Danio rerio: one gene and its partner. Each later gene encodes a partner of the first gene's protein in a complex. Links are inferred from orthologs where the notes say so. Each region holds a gene or a part of one and is shown in the gene's direction. Other genes may lie near its edges.

What was found. Proteins that work in one complex are often made in the same cells at the same time.
Region 2: the proteins of bmpr2a (region 1) and bmp10 are in contact, whole or in part, in a crystal structure (PDB 7PPA), measured with the Homo sapiens proteins. The link is inferred for Danio rerio from reciprocal best matches to the Homo sapiens genes BMPR2 and BMP10. Residues at the interface, in NP_001195.2 of Homo sapiens: Asp38, Ser64, Tyr67, Leu69, Lys81, Cys84, Trp85, Ser86, Ile88, Gly89, Asp90, Pro91, Gln92, Glu93, Thr103, Thr104, Pro105, Pro106, Ile108, Tyr113, Phe115; in NP_055297.1 of Homo sapiens: Tyr329, Lys333, Asp338, Ser339, Trp340, Ile342, Ala343, Pro344, Pro345, Gly346, Tyr347, Glu348, Glu395, Pro396, Ile397, Ser398, Ile399, Leu400, Leu402, Val407, Tyr409, Phe411, Ala417.

What each region holds. Positions count from the first base shown.
Region 1 is NC_133181.1:13,762,417-13,765,930, reverse strand, and holds part of bmpr2a (bone morphogenetic protein receptor type-2a), read left to right. Parts: intron 1-285; coding exon 286-422; intron 423-547; coding exon 548-717; intron 718-2,674; coding exon 2,675-3,514. UniProt on the Homo sapiens protein: On ligand binding, forms a receptor complex consisting of two type II and two type I transmembrane serine/threonine kinases.
Region 2 is NC_133180.1:21,940,950-21,944,987, forward strand, and holds the start of bmp10 (bone morphogenetic protein 10), read left to right. Parts: upstream 1-1,235; 5' UTR 1,236-1,282; coding exon 1,283-1,682; intron 1,683-3,390; coding exon 3,391-4,038. UniProt on the Homo sapiens protein: Required for maintaining the proliferative activity of embryonic cardiomyocytes by preventing premature activation of the negative cell cycle regulator CDKN1C/p57KIP and maintaining the required expression levels of cardiogenic factors such as MEF2C and NKX2-5.

The sequences.
Region 1 (3,514 bases):
TGTCCGTAGTGTATGAGTGTGAATAAGTGTGTCTGGAAGTTTCTCAAAAATAGGTTGCAGCTGGAAGGGCATCTGCTGCGTAAAACATGTACTGCATAAGTTGGCGGTTCATTCCGCTGTGGTGACCCTGGTTAATAAAGGGACTAAGCTGAAAAGAAAACGAATGAATGAATATAAAGATGCTAATTTTGTTTTCTCTTTGCAAAGATTTATTATCTTGTTTTTTTTTTTTACATTGCTTGTGACTCTGCTATTTAAAACCAAATAAGAATCCTCTTCCACCAGGTGAAACAGTGCCAGCTTTTCAGTTGGCATTCCAGGCAGAGGTGGGCAATCATCCTACCATAGAGGACATGCAGGCGCTTGTGTCCAGAGAAAAAGAAAGACCCAAATTCCCAGAAGCCTGGAAAGAGAATAGCCTGGTGAGAAATGAGGATGTGAACACACATGCACACACACACACAAACTGAGCTTATCAACACTCCACAGGCTAAAATAGATTTGTTAATGTTGACGTATGTGTGTATGCGCGTCTATTTTTGTGCAGACGGTGCATTCTCTGAAAGAGACGATGGAAGACTGCTGGGATCAGGACGCAGAAGCCCGACTGACAGCTCAGTGTGCGGAGGAGCGACTCGCCGAACTGCTCCTCATCTGGGACAGAGAAAAATCAGCCAGTCCTGCTCTTAACCACAGCACTGCACTGTATAACCACAGGTAATCAATAGCCAGAAGTTAGCATAATCAATAACCAGCAATTCAGCTTCAAGTTTAATTGTATAGCGCTTTTCACAATAATTAATGTTTCAAAGCAGCTTTACAAAAGGACTACATTATTGCATAACAATCAAATTCAGAATAGTTAAGGTTATTTGTTTCCATCAAGTTATTAGTTACTAATAACTTTAACTAATCACTGAACAGTCAATAAATAACCACAGTTGATTAATAACTTGTAATGGCTGACCACCGGCTATACAATTGCAGGTAATCCATAATTAGTAACCACTGATCACTCAATGTGCAACCACAAATATAGTTATCATTTTACAATCACAGTTAATCAATAAATGTTGATTATTGATCAATCACGGTACAGTGAAATGCAATCAGTATGTAGTAATCACTCCACAACTACAGGTAATCAATGTGTAATAACTGATTACTGGACAACACTTAACTATAACCAATAATAAATGACCACTTTGACTAAATACAAAGGTTATTACTAATATTTACTGTACAACAACAGGTAATTGTCAATCTATACTCACTGACAACTCATGGTGCAAACACAAGTAATCAATGACCCATAATAAATGTTCAACCACATGTTATTGACAACCAAAAGTCACTGATCAATAATAGTCTGGTCACAGGTAATTAATTAAAGGTGCAGTACGAAAGTTTGGGTGCCGCAGTGCAGCAGTAGGTAGTGCTCTCGCCTCACAGCAAGAAGGTCACTGGTTCGAACCTCAGCTGGATCAGTTGGCGTTTCTGTGTGGAGTAGGCATGTTCTCCTTGCATTCATCACTTGGCGTCATCACTCTGTCTCCTCTCCACCAATCAGCTAATGTGTGGTGGGCGGTCTGGCGTAATATGGCTAGCGTCGTGACATCTAGGTTGATTCCCGCCAAAAATGTGTAAAGCGCTTTAAGAGTGTTTTCACACCTGCCTTATTTAGTTCGATTGAATCGCACTAGAGTTCGTTTCCCCTTTTGGTACAGTTCATTTGGGCAGGTGAGAATGCAGCAATCGTACTCGAGTGCGCACCAAAAGCGGACCAAATAAGCGTACCGAGACCTGCTTGAAGAGGTGGTCTCGGTACGCTTTCAAACAACGTTTTGGACTAATTCAGCTGCCGTAGGCCGATGCGCTGTGCATTATGGGATATGGAGGAAAAATATTTGTTGACAGCGCTTTACCAACAGAGAGAGAGAGAGAGAGGGGAAAACATTACCTGATGGATCGTTGGTAATATTTCCGCAAGATGACCATGTTGCAGTTTAGCTAAATTAATTTACGCCTCCTCCTGAAGTGACGAGCGACGCATTAAACACTGTTTTCAAGCCGCGGCCGCGCTTCATTTTCGTAATGTATAGTTTGTCTAAAGCAGGGATACAATCAGCCAGCGCAGTCGTCCCTCCAGAGTAAAAGGTTTTGTTTACCTGCGGGAGTTCACTGGCATTTTCCCGCACGTGAATTGTGACCAATCAATAAGCAATTTAGGAAATATGTTCAACAACATCTGGCCAATGAGAGATGTGGATTTTGTCAGATGACTGCATTTTGGTTCGTTTCAACTGGTTCGGATCAAAGCCAGCAGTGTGGTGTAAAAACGACCCAAAGACGGCAGAAAATGCAACAATGTATCATTTATTGCGCTTGGTCCGGACCAAATGAAGCGAACTACAGATGTGAAAGCACCCTAAGTGTCCAGAAAAGTGCTATTTAAATGTAAGAAACTATTATTATTATGATGATATTACATAGTTTGTTGTTGTTTTCTTTTGACAGTATATGTGATATTTTCCATTTGACATGTTTCCTGCCATTTCTTTGATCAATTTTTTTAATTCTTGGTTCCGTGATATTGAAATCCATCTGTTTTAATTAAAAGTCTATACACATCTTCACCTCATTTGATTTAACCAATGCAATATAACATTTGTAGGAACTTCTCTGCTGGAAGGCAGACACCTAAAGTAGGTTCTGTCCTTGAACACTCATCCACAAACACTGAAGACCATGAAGGTGCTGATAAACCACTCCACAATGACACCTCAGTGGAGCAAACCTCAGCAGGAGGAACTAATCCCGCAGAGAAGAAAAAGAACTGCATCAACTATGAGTGGCAGCAGGCCCAATCACGACAGTCTGGCACAGAAAGCTCCTCCGCTACTCCTGTCTCAGAGTCCTGCAATGCCACGCATCCTCCACCAGTGGCCACCAATCTCTGTGCTCAGCTGACACGAGAAGACCTGGAGATACCAAAACTCGACCCGAGCGAAGTCCAGAGGAACATGAGAGAGAGCTCGGACGAGAGCCTTATGGAACATTCACAGAAACAGTTCTGCTCTCCTGAAACGTCAGCCTCCCACGGCCCGTTTTATCCTCTCATGAAGATGGTTTCTGAGGTTTCGGGGTCACAAGGATCCAGTAGGCATGGGGACACCCCTATAACCATCTTACCTAAGCAGCAGAACGTCCCTAAGAGACCCAGTAGCCTCAGTCTCCACGTAAAGCCTGGGAAAACATCCACCTCGACGTCTTCATCGCTGCGGATGAAGTTCGGAAAGCTTGGAAAGTCAAATCTGAAGAAGGTTGAGATGGGTGTGGCTAAAAGCAGTGTGGTGAATGCGACGCATGAAGCCCGGCTGATTACAGTTGCCAACAACGATGCGGCGGCAGCAATGAATAAATATGCAACAGAACCAGCAGCCGAGTCAGCAGGAAGTTCAGCCAACGAGGACTTGACCTTCGGCCTCTTAAACACCAGTCCCGATGAGCAGGA
Region 2 (4,038 bases), on another chromosome or scaffold:
CATCTTGAAGATAAAAAGAACTAGTTTTGTAGATCCTGTGCCTGGTCTTGATCTTGGGGGAGGTATTGTAAGTGGAAAGTACAGTGTACTGAAGCATTACTCTGGAAGTTGCCTCAATACTGTTTTGTCTGATTGGGATGTGCTACTGTATGAAGACCATCTATTGCGTACTGTCATCCTAAGCCTCCTGAGACATTTCCATTGGCCAGGGAGCTGTGTCAACCTCTCAGAGCCAGTGATAAGGGCTTCTCTCCATTTCCGAATGAGCGGTTTGTTTTTGCCACGAGCACAGAAGCTCTTCAGCAGGCACCCTTCTACAGATGATAAGATGCTCCAGAAGTCAGTGAAAATGCAAACAAAATGTTGTACGGAATTTTTGGCATGATTGGTTAGTGTTGGAGTTATAGTAATCTGTGAACAGTTTGAGTGTCCTCTTCCACAAGGAAATATTTAATTTTGTTCAAGTACTGCAAACGTATTTCATTGTAATGGATACTTTCCAGATTCTTACAGAGGCAGACAGATATTCCGATAACAGCACTATAGTGGCAATAAAAGTAGCTGCTTTCAGTCAATCCAGCAACGTCTTACACCTCATTGCAATTCAATTTCCGTCGCATCAAAGATACGGAGGCACTCTTCAGACGTTTGTCAAAAAGAAACGGTCAATGAACTTAGGTCCCAGCACTCATAGGAAGTCATAGGAAAAACAAATAAACACTAGGCCCAAAATCTGCCCTGGCTCACCCACCCAAACAAAGGAAGGGGCTTCTGCACGTATCAGAGAGATGTTTACAAAGTCCTCATTAAGGAAAAGAAAGCCGATAACGGTGCACACACACACACACACACACACACACACACACTATGAACACTAGAAATGCAGAGCTTCCTAGTTTGCAGATAAGGGACAGAGAGAGAAAGTAGAGAGCAAGAGTGAGAGAGAAAGAGAGAGAGAGGAAAAAACATTTGAAAAGAGATGGCACAGAGGGACATCTCTTTCACGTACTGAAACCACCCTCAAACTTTTCAGACATCAAAAGGTGAGAAGAAGAATAAATGCTCAGAGTTCAGGAATAGAGGCACTTTATTGCAGGCATCAGTGTGAGGCTACATATTGAACCAGAACAGCAAGGACAAGTCTACTATCTTAAGTTTTGCAGTGGAGCGTCAACTAAACTTCTGTCCAGGAAAAGTTGTGTACTGAAATTAAGTGCTTTTGATAGTGGATCTATAGATCTCACCTCCTGCACCTATAGCTAATACACATTTGTCTTGCGTCATGGCTGGTAGCAGAAATCACTTTTGGATTATATTTTCATCTGCCACGTCTGCTTTATTGGCCTTTTTCCTGCTTTTCTGGGGGCCTTTCTGTGTGCAAAGTAGCCCCATCAGCTCCCCGGAGAGGCACCGCACTGCTCCAGGGTTGGATGATGGACATGGAGGCGTTTTGGATCCTTCACTCTTGGAGCAGGACAGTGAGGCGAACATGCAGAGCTTGATGGAGACCCTGAAGGGACAGTTTCTGCAGACTTTCAATCTGACCCGTCCCAGCTCTCCTGCGCATCAAGGGGCCACTCGTGTAGAGCCACCTGAGTATATGCTGGAACTCTACAACCGATTCGCCAATGACCGAACAGCAATGCCTTCGGCAAACATCATACGCAGCTTTAAAAATGAAGGTAACTGCATATTTTCCTATTCAATGAGGGCATTATAATCATTTGTATCGTAGGAATTTGTTATTTTTTTGTAAAAGAAAAAAAGAAAAAAACAACAACTTATTTTTCGACTGTTTATGTGATAAATAATGGTTTCCAAAATAATAATAATAAATGTAACGGTAACACTTTATTTTGATAGTCCATTTGAGTATTAGTAGACTGTCTGCTTAACATTCAACAGATATTTAACTGACTATAAGAAATTTTGCAAGTACAAGTCAACTTACAGTAACCCTAGCCCCATTGTAATAATCTTATAATACTTATAATCCAATGAGATTTAGTTGCAATGTAATTAATTAAATATGCAAGTAATAATATGAAGTAATTTGTGATTACTTGAAAATTCGTGAAAAATGTAGCTGGGAAAGACAAATGTTTCTGCTGAAAGAAAAAAAAAAAAAAAAAAAATATATATATATATATATATATATATATATATATATATATATATATATATATATATATATATATATATATATATAAAGAGTCTTAAAAAGGGCGGTGTGGTGGCACAATCACCACACAGCAAAAAGGGTGCTGATTCAAGACACGGCTGGGTTAGTTGACATTTATGTGTGGAGTTTGCTGCAATAGATGTGCTATTGGTGAATTGGTTAAGCTAAATTGTCTTTATAGTGTATGTGTGTGAATGAGAGTGTATGGGTGTTACCCAGTGATGAGTTGCAGGTGGAAGGGCATCTGCTGCATAAAACAAATGCTGGATAAGCTGGCGGTTCATTCCACTGTGTCAACCACTGATTAATAAAAGGACTAAGCCAAAAAGAAAATGAATGAATGAGTCTTAAAGCATTTTTGGTTGTGCACTGTAGTAAATAATTGCACTGTGATTCATGCATGCTGAATTATGAGCAATTTATAGAGACGATAGTGGCTTTTTTGGTAATTAAAAAGAGGCTTTAAGCGCTTTGTTGTGCAGCAATTTAAATGAAATATTCTTGTGTTGTCTATTACCAACATACTCGCTATCGTTTTTGTTACCTACACCAGGGGTTCCCAAACTTTTCAGTCTGCGACCCCCAAAATAACAATGCTAGTGACTCGCGACCCCCAATATCCTCTGAGGTGGTTATAAATACAGAAACCTTGCATGCAATGACGCAGACACACCAATTAAATTTGTGTCAGTGCTTTAAATGTGCCAGAAAGTATAACCTGATGTTATAAAATCAAAATGCATCTGACGCTATTGCTGCCTTTAATATAATGTAATTACCCCAGGGGTCGCAATCCAATAGAACTAGTAACTATAAGCTACTATAGTAACTATATAGTGTATAGTAACTATAAACTACTATTTTTATTTTCAGTATAGTTATGGATAAAATATGTTAATTCTTATGGTTTTATAACCATAAATAGATTTTTGGAAATCACCAGGCGACCCCCCCCTTCATTGCCCCGCGACCCCTCGGGGGGGTCCCGACCCCCACTTTGAGAACCACTGACCTACACCATAAAGATTGTCTAAATTCACATGTACAAATTGTATACATTGATAAACATAAAACAATTTTATGTTCTACTTTTTCTTTTTACATAAATGTAAATTAGTTTTTATTTTGTAATAATTTTAGACGTTTTTCACACGCATGAAGTTGTGGCAATTAGAATTCCTAACATTTGTCTGTCTTGTTCTCTCCAGACTCCTCCTCATACAGTATGGGACCTAGTGGAGTGAGACGACACCCACTTCTCTTCAACGTATCAATCCCACACCATGAGAGAGTCACCACAGCTGAACTCCGACTGTACACTCTGGTCCAGACTGACCGCAACAAATATGCTGGTGTTGACCGAAAAGTGACCATATATGAGGTCAAACTGCTTGAAACGAACAGCAGCCAGCAAGTAAGAGGAGACGATGTTGATGGAGGAGATCAAGCGAGTAAAACGGAGCTGGTGGAGTTAGCATCTCGACAGGTTTATGGTACAGATAATGCATGGGAATCCTTTGACATGACCGCAGCCGTCCACCTTTGGCGGAAATCAGACTATGGGACCACGCACAAGCTGGAGGTCCACATAGCAAGTTTGGACTCTCAGAGTGTGGCCGAAGGTGAAAATATAAGCAATGCCATAGGGGGAGACATGGACATTGACACCAGCCCTGAGGACAAACACAAACCCTTAATGATTGTGTACTCTGATGACCAGAGCAGAGACCATCGTGGAGCAAAACGAGAGCTGAACGAGCTGATCCAGCACGAGACCAACAGGCCAGGCCTTCAAGACAACCTTGAGCTGGAGATGACGGGCCTCTGGGGTGACCTGGGACAAAAAGATGGCATTG